Linked DNA regions of Diceros bicornis minor. The protein of the gene in region 1 purifies or fractionates together with the protein of each later gene. This does not show direct contact. Links are inferred from orthologs where the notes say so. Each region holds a gene or a part of one and is shown on either strand. Other genes may lie near its edges.

The links.
Region 2: the proteins of MINK1 (region 1) and CNOT9 purify together in Homo sapiens (affinity purification with mass spectrometry; 3 studies listed by BioGRID and IntAct, with this or other methods). This does not show direct contact. The link is inferred for Diceros bicornis minor from reciprocal best matches to the Homo sapiens genes MINK1 and CNOT9.

Annotation. Positions count from the first base shown.
Region 1 is NC_080757.1:11,609,175-11,616,542, forward strand, and holds the start of MINK1 (misshapen-like kinase 1), read left to right. Parts: upstream 1-4,327; 5' UTR 4,328-4,564; coding exon 4,565-4,621; intron 4,622-7,368. UniProt on the Homo sapiens protein: Serine/threonine kinase which acts as a negative regulator of Ras-related Rap2-mediated signal transduction to control neuronal structure and AMPA receptor trafficking.
Region 2 is NC_080776.1:8,937,589-8,945,044, reverse strand, and holds the start of CNOT9 (CCR4-NOT transcription complex subunit 9), read right to left. Parts: upstream 3,069-7,456; 5' UTR 2,727-3,068; coding exon 2,703-2,726; intron 1-2,702. UniProt on the Homo sapiens protein: Component of the CCR4-NOT complex which is one of the major cellular mRNA deadenylases and is linked to various cellular processes including bulk mRNA degradation, miRNA-mediated repression, translational repression during translational initiation and general transcription regulation.

The DNA of each region.
Region 1 (7,368 bases):
ACACACCGGATTGAGGAGGGTTACCTCTCAGGGTGAGTGGAGGGAAAGGGATAACAGAGGGGTAGACAGAGCTCTTCAAGTGAACTGGTGACGTATTTCTTAAGCTGAGCGGTGGGTATATGAACATATATATATTCGTATCTTTTTGTAGATCTGAAATATTTTGCAATTAGAAAAAAGTTTAGCACAGGTCCTGGCTCTTGCCCTTCATCCCCCCAGCCTCCCTCTCCGGTCTCAGAATTGACCACAGGAGCAGGAAGAAACAGGGGAGTAGAGTGAGGAGTTTAGGAAGCCTTCCTGTAAGAGGGGTGTGTAGCGGATGATGACGTGGAGAGGGGATGCTGGTGTCTTGCCCTGATCCTCTCCTTTGAATCCAGCCCTCTGCTCCTCTGAAGAAGCCACTTTCACACAAGAGATCCCCCCTCCCACATATAGCAGTCCCCTGGTACTAATTGGCATTCTGCTAATTAGCCTCCTCGTCAGCACTACGTGCCTCTTTCCCTAGGGGACCGTTACCTCATTAAGCAAGGAGTGGAGTGGAGGCAGCAGCTGCCCCAGGCTGGGCTAGGGGCAGAGTGGGTTTCTGCTTCACGCTGTCTGTTAGTCTGTCTGCCCCCACCCCCCCCTCATTAGTCCTGGAGTTTCTTGAATGGAGGCCACCATAGTGCAGGGGGAAAAGCCATGGGCTTGGAATCAGAAGAGTTAGCTCAAGACCCAGGATGAAGAAAGTGAATCCAGCCTGCTAAGGTGGGTGAGGGCGACTGGGCCTGTGCAAAATGTGCATTCATCCCCTAGGGGTCCTCAAATTTGTCTTATTTTTAATATTTTAACTTTTCTTGATGCTTGATCCAGGACTTTCTCCACCATATTATCTCTCTTTAAGTTTTTATTATGGACAATTTCATATTTACAGTAGTCCCCCTTTATCCGTGGTTTCACTTTCCGTGGTTTCAGTTACCCACAGTCAACTGCAGCCCAAAAATATTAAATGGAGGAGGCCGGCCCGGTGGTGTAGTGGTTGAGTTTGCTCTCCGCTTTGGCGGCCCGGGGTTTGCAGGTTTGGATCCCGCCACAGATCTATGCACAGCTCATCAAACCATGCTGTGGAGGCATCCCATATACAAAATGGAGGAAGATGGGCATGGATGTTAGCTCAGGGCCAATCTTCCTCACACACACAAAAAATATATTAAATGGAATATTCCAGAAATAATTCATAAGTTTTAAATTGCACACCGTTCTGAGTAGCATGATGAAATCTCACACTGTCACACTCTGTCCAGCCCTGGACGTGAATCAGCCCTTTGTCCAGCACATCCACGCTGTACACGCTACCCACCCATTAGTCACTTAGTAGCCATCTCAGTTATCAGATCGGCTGTCATGGTATCAGTGTCTGTGTTCAAGTAGCCCTTATTTTACTTAATAATGGCCCCAAAGCACAAGAATAGTGATGCTGGCAACTGGGATATGGCAAAGAGAAGCCATAAACTGCTTCCTTTAAGGGAAAAGGTAAAAGTTCTCGACTCAATAAGAAAAAAAAAATCACATGCTGAGGTTTCTGATGGTATGCTACAGTAAGAACGAATCTTTTATCTGTGAAATTGTGAGAAAGAAAAAGAAATTCATGCTAGTTTTGCTCAAACTGCAAAAATTATGGCCACAGTGCATGATAAGTGCTTAGTTAAGTTGGAAAAGGCATTACATTTGTGGGTGGAAGACACGAACAGAAAACGTGTTCCTATTGATGGCAACATGTTGCACTAGAAAGCACTGGGCCTACACGAAGATTTTAGCATGGGATCCCTTGAAATGAGTGACATCAAGCCATTCACTGCAAGTGAGGCATGGTTACAGATTCAGGAATAGGTTTGGACTGAAAGAGAGAGAGACTACACATAACTTTTACTACAGTATATTGTTATAGTTGTTCTCTTTTATTATTAGTTATTGTTCATCTCTTACTGTGCCTAATTTATAAATTAAACTTTATTATAGGTATGTATGTTTAGGAAAAAACATAGTATATATAGGGTTCAGTACTATCTGTGGTTTCAGGCATCCACTGGGGGTCTTGGAATGTATCCCCCGCAGGTAAGAGGGGACTACTGTATATAAAAATAGAATAGGATAATGAACCCTCATGTATCCATGCATCGGTACTCCAGCTTGAATAATTACTAGCATGAAGCCAATCTTGTTTCTCTACCCTCCCCACCCCCCAAATTACACTGCCTCTTGAGGTTTGGGTGGTCATTTATCCTAACCCTGTGATCTTAATTTGCTTATTCATTAATTCAATATCTCTTTATTAAACACTGCCTATGAGTCAGGCATTAGTAAATTTATTGAAGACCTAGGATATGCCAAGTGCTTTACATACCTAATTTTATTTTACCCTAACCTCCCTGTTATTATTTCTGTTTTACAGATGATAAAATTGAGCCTCAGAGAGATTAATGACTTGCCCAAAGCACTAACTTCAAATTCTATGTTTTCTTCCTATTATACCATGGTCTTGACCTTGAATTACTATATGTCACACTGCCTACTCAGACAACAGAGGCCTTCATTCACTTAGGTGTTACTGAACCTCTAGTGGGTTCTAGGCCCTGTGCTGAATAAGAGTGACATAATTCCTGCCTTTAAGGAGATGCGACAGACATTACAATTCAAGTGTTAAATGTTACCATGGGTTTAAGCCAGGCAGCTAAAACAGAAGAGGCAAACTCAATCTTAGTCAAGGAAGATTGGGTCAAGGAAGACTTCATGGAGGAGATGATTTAGACATGTAGTACAAAGCAAAGGGCAGTGAGAGTGGGCATGGTCAGAATATTCCAAGGAAAAGAAACAGCAAGTGCATAGGCTGGAGGAGGATCTGTTGAGTTCTGGGCACTGTGAGGAGAGGATTTCAGCATGGCTAGAACATGTGAGGTTGAATGGTGGAGTACTGAAAAACAAGGCAGGAGAAGCAGGCAGAATCTTGAAGGTCTTTGATGCCACACTTGAGACTCTACTCAAAAGACAGTGGGAAGTCAGTGAAGGGTCTTAAACAGGAGAGTGACATCAGATTTGAGTTTTAGAAAAATCACTCTGGGAATGGCGAATTGATTTAAGAGAGCCGGGCAGGGAGACCAAGCAGGAGGCTGATAAGAGGAATGGAGGTGAGTGGGGACTGTGGCTTGGATAAGGTCAATGGCAAGATAAATAGGAAGGGAGGGAAGCAAAACTGGATGTGCATGTGAAAGTGCTAAGGAGAAGGGTCCAGACATCTCATTCAAACTCTCCTAAGTGACCTTTAAGGCTGGTGGTGGGGTCTTTCAGAGATAGTACTGTTGCTGAAAGTGATCTCAGGGATCAAACAGCCTTCTCTCTCAACCTCACAGTGAAAGAAAAGCCCAGAGAAGCAAAGCAACTTGCTCAAGGTCACACAGCATGTCAGTGGTAGAACATGACTCCTTGTTCTTTACATAGCATTACTCAACCTCTAGTGAGGCTAGTGGCTGGGGGTGCTATGCCAACATGACTAGACCTAAGGTGACCCAAGCAAGATTTGAAGGGGTTGGACATAGATTCCTCCTCTTCCCCTCCGCCTCTCCCTGCCACCCCTTTCCCCACGCGCAGCTCGTGATCAGTCAATGAATAATTGTTGAAACAGTTCCTTTGTGCAGAACAAGAGGTGCACAGATACAAGTCTGCGGGAGGATTTCCTATCCTGAGATCTGAGAGGCCCTCCTCAACACTCCCCACTCCAGCCAGAGAAGGGGGTAAAGGGCATTCCTGAGGCAGCCAGTCCCCCCTCTCCACTCCCCAAATCCCAAGTGGTTTCTACAGCCAAGTTCTCACGGAGAGGCCCCTCCCTCAGTGGCTCCACTGTTGCCATGGCAATTAGGTGGGTGGACAGCCCATCCTATCTAGAGGCCACCCAGCCCTCGCGTGGGGAGTTACCATAACAACCCCCCTAGCAATAGAGGGGGTTGGGTCCCGCCCCCTTCCCCCGCAAATAGAGAGGTGGGTGGCTTGATTGGCAGCTGGGCAGACGAAAGAGGAGGGAAAGGGAAGGAAGGCGTCAAAAGAGAGCTAAGAAGGAAATGGGGGAGAGAGAGGGCAAAAAATAGGCGACGGGAAGGAAACGCGTGTGCGCACGCGCGCCAGCTGGTGGGCGCGCTCCGCGGCCACCTCGGCCGCCGCCCACTTCTTTCACGCCAGGCTCGTTCGCGCGCGCCTTTCGCGCTCTCTCTTGCGCCTGCGCGCAGGTGTCGGCGCCGAGGGGGAGGGGGAACCCGGCGCGCTCGCGTCACGTTCCTTCTTCCACCCTCCCGGTGCACGGCCACTCCGCGCCTGCGCAGGACAGTCGGGAGCTCGGGTTGCAGGCTCCGGGGCAAGAGCGCCTGTCAGTCTGTGGGTCGGTCCTCTCCCCGGCCCTCCCCCTCCCCGTTCTCCGGGGGAGGCACGGTGGAGTCCGCCCCCGGGATACCCCGATGGGGGAGAAGCGGCGACGGCGGCAGCGGAATAACCCAGCCGGAGCGTGAGCGGCCCCGGGGCCCCGTTCCCCGCGGAGGCCATGGGCGACCCAGCCCCCGCCCGCAGCCTGGACGACATCGACCTGTCCGCCCTGCGGGTGAGCGCGCAGCCCCCCAGCCTCGCCCTGGTTCCAGTCCCCGCCGCAGGGGAGCGGGGTGGCCGCACGCCTCACGTGCTCCCCGGGCGCCCCTTCCGTCAGCCCCGTCCCCCTCGGCAACCCCCGCCCCTTTCCCGGGCGCCCACGGCTGCTGGGCCCCCGCCCCTGCTCCCCCCCTCCACTCGCTGCAGATTCTGGGAGCCAGTTCGGTCCCCACCCTGTGGTGCCCCGCCCCCACACTTCCCGGCCACCTCCACCTTTACTCAGGTTCCGGACCCGCTTCCTCCAAGGTGTTTGAGGATCATCCCTGGTTCCCCTAAACTTAGGCCCCCATCACCTGCAGAATCTTTATTGTGGTGCCCCTCACCTCCTCTTGGGCCTCTTTCCACCCTTGCCCTTAGTTATATCGTCTTCCTCGCCCTCCTCTGTCTCGGTTCCTCGAATTTTGACTTTTCAGCTATCTTGACAGCCTTCCCCTCATCACCCTTTCTCCTCGCCCACCCCTGAATTGCTTCTCTTGCCTGGTCGGAATTTCAGCCTCCCCTCTCTACCCCACACCTCCTACTGTCGCCCTCACCCCCATGTTCTGCTCACCCCATCCCTTTTCTCGTGTTTCAAGTGCAGCAGTCCAGAACCAGGCATTTCCGGTCTCAGGGTCCCTGAATATTGCATTACCAACTCTGCAGCAGTGTGGGGCTGGGAGGAAAGACAAGTGCACTGGGGGAGGAGGGGAAGCATGGATTCTCTTCGGAAACTAGCCTGGGCTGGGAAGAGGATGTTTATACGCATGCACATACACAAAACGCACGCTGCATTTAGTCCATCAGGAGGTTGGGAAAAGCAGTGAGTATTTTGTATGTTTGCTGGAGGGAGGGGGAGGTAATGGAGATCTCTCAAGAGAGGGGTTAATTAGAAAAGGGATAGAAGGAAACAATCGCAGCAGGAATTTCTTTGAAACACCTTTTTATTGTCCCCCCTGGGGCACTTGCACGCCCCCGTTTGGGAGCTTTCAGCAGCATTTATGTGTTTTTCTTCAGCAAGGAGCTCTGGCTGAGGGGCATCTTAGAGATTTCAAGGTGAACACTCCAATCACCCAGGTGGTGTTTTTGTCCTATGTCCTTCCGGCTTTCTCAACAGGCCAAGGTGTGGGGAGAGCAGGATTTCCCATCTCTAGGTTAGCTTCTCTGGAGGCCCCTGTTTAAATTGTCTTCTGGCTTTTGAGTTAGACAGAGAACATGGCCAGTAGTGGGAAAAGGCGGTCAGTCACTCAGGTGCCCCGGATATGACTGGAGGGGAATTGAAGAGAGCAGAGTCATGTCGTTAATTGGGTTTCTCTAGGTGACACAGTTTTTCTTGGCATTCAGGTCATAGTTTGTTTGGTGCAGTGTTGGGCTAGGAGACCTGACTTGCTGGAGATAAGGTGATAAGTTACTGAGGAGGGAAACTGAGCGGTGAATTTCTCTCTCTCTCTCCCTCTGTGTCTCTCGCTCAGTGTGTGTGTGTGTGTGTGTGTGTGTGTTGGTGAGGAGAGGGTCTGAAGGCTTTGGGAGGAAGATTCTTAAGGTCAGTATAAACTACATTTCTCAAGTTAAGCCAGTTGGATATAAGATGGAAATCCAGGCTCCCCTTAATGTGCTCCTGTCTAGGATGAACCCCACCTTCCCTTCCCACCTTGGTTGTTGATTAACTCTGGCTACAGGTTCCTGTGGCTGTGGTGACTGACATACAATAAAAAACGGGTGGGTCCAAACCATGACCTTTGGTTTAAACCTTGTGGGACTCTGCTTGGGCTTTCTTTCCCTTTAGCCTCTTCTGGTAGTTTGGCCTGGACCCTCAACCTAGGATTTCCAGCAATTCTGCAGACACCCTCTGACCTTAGATGTGGTATTCCCCTTCCGGACTTCTCTGCCTGAAGCAATGTTAGTGTTCTTCCTCAAGCATCCTGCCTTATTCTCCTCTCCCTCCCTCAAGAGAGCCAGCTGACCTACCTGCTCCCGGTCTTCTGTTTTTCCTGCCTCATGCTTCTTAAGACAGCATTCCTCATCCCCCATTACCGCAGTACTCCAGGGCTTGAGGGAGAGCTTTGAAATGGGGCTAGAGAGGGCCTGCTTTCTCCTTCCTGCTGACCTTTTCTCAGTGCCTGTCCCCTCCGCTCCACCTCAGAGAGCTGCTGTGGCACTGTGGAGCCGCTAGCTCAGTCATCTCTTGTTCTGTTCCTGTCTGTGTTCCAGTGAGAAATGGTAACCTGGAGGATTAGCAGCAAAGCCTGTTTCCCTTTACTCCGTCGACTTGTGTTGGGGGCCTGGGGGGAGGGGACAGGAACGTATTCAGCATTTATTGACTGCCCTTGAAGAGCCCAAGTTGTCTTTCTCCTCTTGTTTCAAGATGAGGCTTGGTTTTCAGCTGGTGATGAGAGTAATAGTCTGATATTAGGGAAGATTGAATTGCACTCGTCTCTTAGCCGTGTGTGGGGAGGCCGGGTCGACCTGCCACTTTGTGATCACAGGCACACTTGACCTCTTTGAGGCTCCATTTCTCCATCAGCACAGCATCATGGGCTTATATTCCTGAGGTCAAGTCTGGCTTTCTCACTTATTGTGTAACCTTGGCCTTGCCCCCGCTGCTTTCTTTACTTGCTGCGGATTCTGCAAAGGGCCTCGCCTCTCTGAGGCTCCGTTTTCTCATGTGTATCAGCGAGGATGGTGATAGTACTGAACTCAGAGGTGCTGAGGATTAAATGAGATACT
Region 2 (7,456 bases), on another chromosome or scaffold:
TTACCTTTGGCTCTTTTAGATCACCAGCATAACATTCATTACAGAAGACCCACGGTACGTGAAGATTTGCAGCTCTGTTAATCTGAAGCAACCTCCAAGGTCCACAACAAAGTGATTTGTTATTTTGCTGAGGCAGGAGTTAGCATCCCACGGCTGAAGTCTGGGAGCAAGTCATTTAACCAATGAGTGAACCTAGCCAACCACTGAGCACTTTGTTATTCTTATTTAATTTTTAGAATAATCCTGTGTGGTGTCTCTGTCCCTATTTAATAGATGTGAGAACGAAATTATATTCTATGGTGGCAACAATGATGATGTTAGGATGTATTCTGTAAAGAATGACAAGAGTCTACTATATTATACATTTCTAGCGTAATAAACTACTACTCAGGAGTCAAAATTTAAGAAACTTCCTCCCTCTAGTGAATACATCCTGCATTCACATGTGATCACGTTGTCCTTTGATAGACTATCTCCCTAGCTGAAGTGATGTTATTCTTAAAAAGAGATAAAGGTATACACAAACAAAAATTTTCATCATTAGGCAGAAAGTGAGCATTTTCTCAAGTGGCTTAGATTATTGCAGGCACTGCTGCATGTATTATTAACTCTTCTCAATTTCTTGTGAGTGATATACACCATTACAGTTCCTTTACCCAGATCAGAATAACACAGACAGTTTCGTCTAATGGAAGGCGTGAAGGATTGGGAAAGAGGTCGCTCAACTTCTCTATGCTTCAGTCTCCTCACTAACCAGATATTCTAGTAAATAAGTGGTGCAAAGCAACTTGTCAGAGTTTCTGTGTGGTCCAAACAGCATATCTAAAAGCTCAAACTTTAAATAAATGTAAAGCATTGTAAATTTAATTGAAGAAAACATGTATCCAGTACTTCTTATAAGTAATGAACCACAGCTTTAACGGCTGTTCCAAAGATGCATTAGGGAGCAATTGAAAATAAAGGGAATTGACTAGGTAGAGAGATTGCGGAGGCAGAGGGAAAGGAGCAGCTTGATATCAAAGTCTGGAGAAGACAATCAGATTTTGAAAGATGGACAAGCCAACCTTAGAAGAATCCTTTGTTTAACCTGCCACTCCCCTAGGAGCAGCAACCATATCTTCTGACTTGCTTCTTCTCAAATTACATGTATTACTTAGAAGAAATAAAAAAGCTGGGGAAATTGCAATTACCTAATTGAGAGATATAAAAAGTACCTCTCCACTTTGAAGAGTTACAAACACTTAGAAACATGGTGATAGGACACAGAGATGCCACAGGCCTGGGAAATGACAATGCTTTCTATAACCTAGTCATGCTCAGCTCTCTTTTTCACTTTATATATTTAAAGTTAAGGCAATTTTTTGGTCTTCTATTTAGTATGTCCTTTTCCCTGGTAATGCAATTTCAGTATACTACTCTCTCCTTAAGTCACATCACCTTAGTAAAACAGAAAAATTAGGATGAGCATTCAGAAGAGTATCCTCAAATCATATGATCGTGTTTTCCCATTACAGCTATGTGCTCTCAGGAGTGACCTCCCTCATCTATACCCCTTCATTCAGCAAAGTATTTGAGCCCCTCCTTTGTGCCAGGAACTGTCCTGGCACTGGGGTAACCATATAAACAGGACCCACATGATCCCCGTGGATCAAGAGGGAGACAGACAACAGACAGATAAAAGAATACAAAAATTACAAACTGGGATCAATGCTGTAAACAGTACTCTAACAGAGAAAAGCTGGGGGTTACAAAACTACTTTAAATAGGGTGGTCGAGGAAGGCCACTCTAGGGAGATTTTTAGGCTGAGACTTGAGGGAAGAGGAGCCAGTTACATCCACATGCTGTGTGTGTCTGTGTGTAAGTAAGTAAGGGGGGGGCGGGGAGAGTAAGAAGAGCATTCCAGAAATAGAGATCAGAAAGTGCACCCTGGAATGCAAAAGTGCAGGCAGAAGGGATGGCACGGCGGTCCCTGTAGCCAGAGCCTACGGAGCAAATGACATGAGACTAAACATGGGTAAGGACCACATCCTACAAGCAGCGCCTTGTAGGCCATGGCAAGGAGTCTGGATTTTATCTACATGCAAAGAGAAGCCATAAGATGACTTTAAACAGGTGAGTTACACGATCCGTTTTTCTTGATAAAAGATCGCGCTGGTAAAATGAGACGTGTGAAAAAAGGTTGTAAGCGCAGTAGAACCATAAGTCAGACGTAATAATTATTCACTTCTCCGGGTCTCAGCTTTTCCATCTATAACGCAAGCGGTCTGAGCTAGTAGCCATTTCTTTCCCGCTGCGATGCGCCTAGGCAGTGCGTCCCGAGCGCGGCCGTGGCAGAGGGACCACGGCATTCCCCTCATCCCTGCCCACGCCCAGCACGAAACCGGCAGGCCGAAACTGTCGGTCAGCGTAGTGAATCAATGAATGGCCTGTCCGGGCCGCGAAAAGGCGCTCCGGGCGCCGGACCAGGCCCCGGGCCGGGAGAGAAGGCGATACGCGGCGCCAGAGGCCGCGAGCGCCGGCCGGTGAGGAACGTGGGGGCCGGGTCCCACGCAGCCCAGCGCGGCAACGAGGGGCCGGGGCCTCGCGCAAGGAGGGCAGGAGGAGCCCGACTCCGAGCCCGACGCAGGGAGCGAGGAGAGAAGGCCGGAAAGCAGGGCCGAGGAGGGGTTCTGGGCCGAGGCCGGGCGGCCCGGCCACTCACCGCAGCCGTCGCCAGGCTGTGCATGTTGGGAGCGGCCGCCGCTCTCCTCCCACTGCCGGACGCGCCCGACCCGCGTCCCCGCTTCAGCGCCTCTGCCGCCAAAGACGATGAGCCGCCGCAGCCGCCATCCGCCTCCGGCTCGCTCCGCCCCCTTCGCAGCCCTCTGACCTTTCACCCTTGACCCCGCCCACACAACCTCTTCCCGCCTCCTAGCTCTCGGCTGAGTTAATAGTCCCAGCGTGTGTCCTTTGCCCCTTAAGATTCAGGACCGGAAGGACGTCCGCCACCCACTAGTCCTCGCATCCCCCAGCTTCGAGCTGGTATCCCAAGAGAGGGACGTGAACTCTGACCCTCCTCCGGAGGCCAGTGAAGGGCGGGAAAAGCCAGGCAGTCCCAGGAGGGCAAGTAGTGCGCATGCCCGACTGGGCTGAGCATGAGGGAAACGGTGGGAGGCCCCAAGGCAGCGAAGTGGAAAGTGCGCATGCGTACTACATCAGGGCAGGGGCGGGGCTGCCTCGGCGAGACTACGCTAGGTGCTGGGGCGGGGCGAGGGCGTGGGAGGGGCGGAGTTTGCAGGCTTGCGCGCACGCGCCCCGTGTGGTCGCGTCGAGTGTGCGTGCGTGCGTGCGTGCGTGTTTGCGTGTGGTCACAGTTCCCGCCATCAGCCGCTCTCCCTGACTGGGAGGGAGCGAGCGGCCCCACTCCTTGGTGCCCGGTGTCCATTCCTTCGTTACCCCGGGCTCCTCCCCCTCCGCGCGGACTCCGTGCTTCCGGCGGGCCTGTCCGGGGCTCCGGACTCGCAGGCACAGGTAAGGCGGGCCCGGCGAGCTTCTCAACTGAGCCGTTTTCCCCAAGACCCCCCCCGCCCCGTGCGGTCCGCCCACTCGGCGTTCACTCCTCCAGAGTTCGCCCGGTGCCGCTCAGCCCGCCCCCAGCCCCTCGACGCTCCCCTGGCCTCACAGGTACTCCGCTTGGGTCTTCCCCCGGGATTTCTCTCTCCTTGGACCTGGTCTCTGCTGTCCCTCGCTCCCTCCGCAAACCGAACCCGGCGCCTGCTCGCGGGGGGCTGTCGTCGTCCGCCACTCGCCCCTTAGCGAGGCCTGCTGTGTCTTCAGGTGACTTCCGTTGCCGCACGTCCATCAGGCCTTGGACGTGATACTCTTTCACTCTCTTGACCGTTCTTTCCCTTCTTTCCTCACCTAACCATCTCTCGCTAAAAGGCACGAAGGGTGTTTTTTGTCCTGCCTTTGGTTGCTCCCCATCTCTAGCCATCAGGTTGTCAGGTTTACCTATTTTAGGTCACGGTCCACGAAAGGAAACGATAACTGATGACAAAATCCTGTTCTGGAAAGTTGGCCTGTAGTGGTTTTGTGGTCATCCTTTCAAAATTTGGGCTTTGTGTAAACGCCTTTTTTGGGGTGGCAGTATCTGACAGGTCTCTAACTGGAAGAGATATCTAAGACGATGTCAAGTAGGCGGTTGGATGTACTGGGTCTGAGCTCAGCAGAGTTCTGGGTTGGATAGATAGATAAATGTATACATCTTATCGCTGTGTTGATAGTAGTTGAAGCTGTGGATGTGGATGAAATTGCCTAAAAAGAGTATAGTTCTAAAAAAGAAGGGGACCTAGGATGGATGGAGCACTGAGGGATTCTTGGCAGTTAATAACTGGGTAGAGGGGTGAAAGAGACAAAAGAAGTCATCAATAGTGTTGAATTCTGCTGAAAGGTAAAGTTGAAGGGGACTGAAAAGCCCGATGACATCCAAGTAACCGATGACCATAGCAAGAGACGTTTGATGGGGAAAAAAGGACTATCTAGCTTCTGTCCGAGGCCCTGTTCTCCTTTTACTCTTCCCTTCCACCCTAAGCTTTAAATTCCATCTGTATATTGATGACTTAAGAATTTTTATTTCCAGCTTGTTCCTTTTGTTTTCAGCTCAAGATCAAAATACCCACCTGTCTGCTTGACATCTCAACTTGATTTTTTCTTAGGAATTTCAAATATAACAAGTGTAAAACCAAAGTCTTAATCTTTCCATACCCAAATTCTTTCTCCTCCAGTATCCCAGTTTGTCCATTTATCCACTTACATAGGCTAGAAACTTGGAAACCATTCGTGACTTCTCCCTCATCCCATGTATCCATACCTTCTTCAAGTTCTGTTTATTCTATTTCCGATATATGTCTTGGATCTATTTCTGTGCATCTTCAGTATTACCTTTCTAGTTCAAGCCACAATCCTGTTTTACCTGGACTTGATGTCACTGGTTCCCTGTATTCTCATCTGTAAAATGGGAATAATAATCACCTTATTGCATTGTTATGAGGATTAAATGAGATAGCCATGGTAAGCACATGGCACACAGTAAATAGCCAGTAAGCAGTAATTGTAATTGTAATTGTTGTTATAGGCTGAGTCAGGTCAATACTCTCCTCTCTGGTTGCCCTGTTTTCTTCCATTCTTACTCTTTTCACTCTCTTCCCCAAACCCAAACAAACCACATCACTTCTCCATTCAGCAGTAACATGTCATTTCTCTGCTTAAAACCTTTCATTGGATTTCCTATCACTAGGTATTTATTACATCTAGGGTAAAATTCAGAATCCTTACTATGGTCTAGAAGATTCTGTGTAACTTGATTCTTTCCTGCTTCACTAGCTTCATCTTGCACCATCCTCCTCTTCCTCACTAAACTCCAGCCTCACTGCTTTTAGTTTCCTTTGTCACACCGAGTTATTTTCCATCACAGGGCCTTTGCACATGCTGTTCTGTTTGCCTAGATTGTTCCAGCACAGCCATCCCCCAATTAACTCATTCTTTAATTTTCAGCTTAAGTGATACTTCCTCAGAGAAGCCTTCTCTTGATGCTCTCTAACCTCTACCCCCTCTACCCTGTTATAATCTTTCATCATGCCCTGAACTTTATGTCATTTTTCAGAACTTGTAATTATATATTTACTTGTGTGATTATTTAAAGTCTTTCTCCAATATATAATATGTAACTATTTCATTTCTATTTCTCAAGAATTTGTCAAATGAATAAGTAAACTGGCACTTGCTGTGAGAACCATCATGTCTTTTGGAAGCACCAGCTTACTGATAATCTTGTCATCCCATGACACACACCTTTTCACCCTGCAGACAAATTCAAGGATGCAAAAGAAAAAAAACAGTTTTCCAGCTCTGGATGATTTTACCCATTCTTATATCATAAAATCATTCATATTTTAGACTCTTTGAATTGGAGATAAACTTTATCTAGGTCAACTTCTTCTTTACTCTCAGCCACAACACTAATTTAATCTCTTTGCGCACTTGTTTTATGGATCTTGTTAGGAAAGAAAGCCCTTAGGAATCAGAGCAGTGGTTTATATATTTTAACAACAGGTTAAACTGTGAGACCAGTCAGGATAAGATTTCCAAAAATAAAGAAAAATTCCATATTTAAGTAAGTTGTTGGTGGTGGATGTGGAAGAAAATGTTAAAATTTAATAATTTGTGTGTAGAACAGGATTTGTGTTGAGAAATAGAAAATAAAAAATAGGTGTATGAATGCCAAACATAGTTGTTTGGATTTATTTTATAGGTAGCAATGAGCTGTTAAAAATGTTTGGGAGAAAGTTTCTGTTAAGCAAGATGAATAAGTTCTAGAGATAAGCTGTGTAACATTGTACCTATAGTTAACAGTACTGTATTGTACACTTAAAAGTTTGTTAAGAGAGTGGATCTCATGTTAAGTATTCTTACCACAATAAATTAAAAATCTTAAAAATGTTTGGGAGAGAGTTAGCATCATTGGCAAATATTTAGCACTTACTAAGTGCCTGTTATTTTGTTGGAGTACAAAAGAAGATAAGACAGCCCCCCCACCCTTCCACTCTAGGGAGAAAGCTAAGGAGACAAGTAGTGCATACTTTAGTTAGTAAGAGATAAAGTTCTTTAGAAAGGATATTGTAGGGCAAAGGATTCATTGGATGGAAAAATCCTGAGAGAATGGAGACTGGAAAGTGATTACTGCAAATCATTGATGAGGATGCAATATGGTAGTGTTTAAAAACATGGGCTCTAGTGTTAGACTTAATTTTGTCTCTTACTGACTCTGTAACCATGGGTAAATTACTTAATCTCTATAAGCCTCAGTTTCTTCGTCTGTAAAATGGATTATCCTATTATCCTGTCCTTTAGGATTATTTTGAAAATTAAATGAGATAATGCATGTATGGCCCTTAGTACTGTGCTTAGTAAATGTTGTGTAATAAATATTAGATGGGAGTGATGACAAAGTGAAGAGTTTCTGAATTAGGGTAGTAGCCATGAAAAGATTGGGTTTTAGATAAATGAGAATGAAATTAAAGCTGATGCTAAGATTTTTGCCTGAATGACTGTGGAACGACAAATCCAAGGAAGTCTGGGGAGTCTCTTAATGAGGGCATGGACTGTATCATCTTTGCATTTGTCCCTATCACAGTGCCATCAAATTGGAGTAGCTCAGTAAATGATTTTTTACTGAGTGAACAAATAAATGTAAAGTTGATGTTATAGCATTGAAGAAGGCAGTGAGAGATGTTTGGGTCAAACTTCAGGGAAAGTTGAGGCTTAGAGAGGCCTAAATTTGAGAAACAAACCCATAAAATTAGTTTTAAAAGAAAAGTAAAAATGAAGTTTACCCACCTTTTGAAATTTGTACCAGCACATCATAGTAGTGGTATTTTAAGATTTGAGACATCATTATATAACAATGTTTATAAAGTC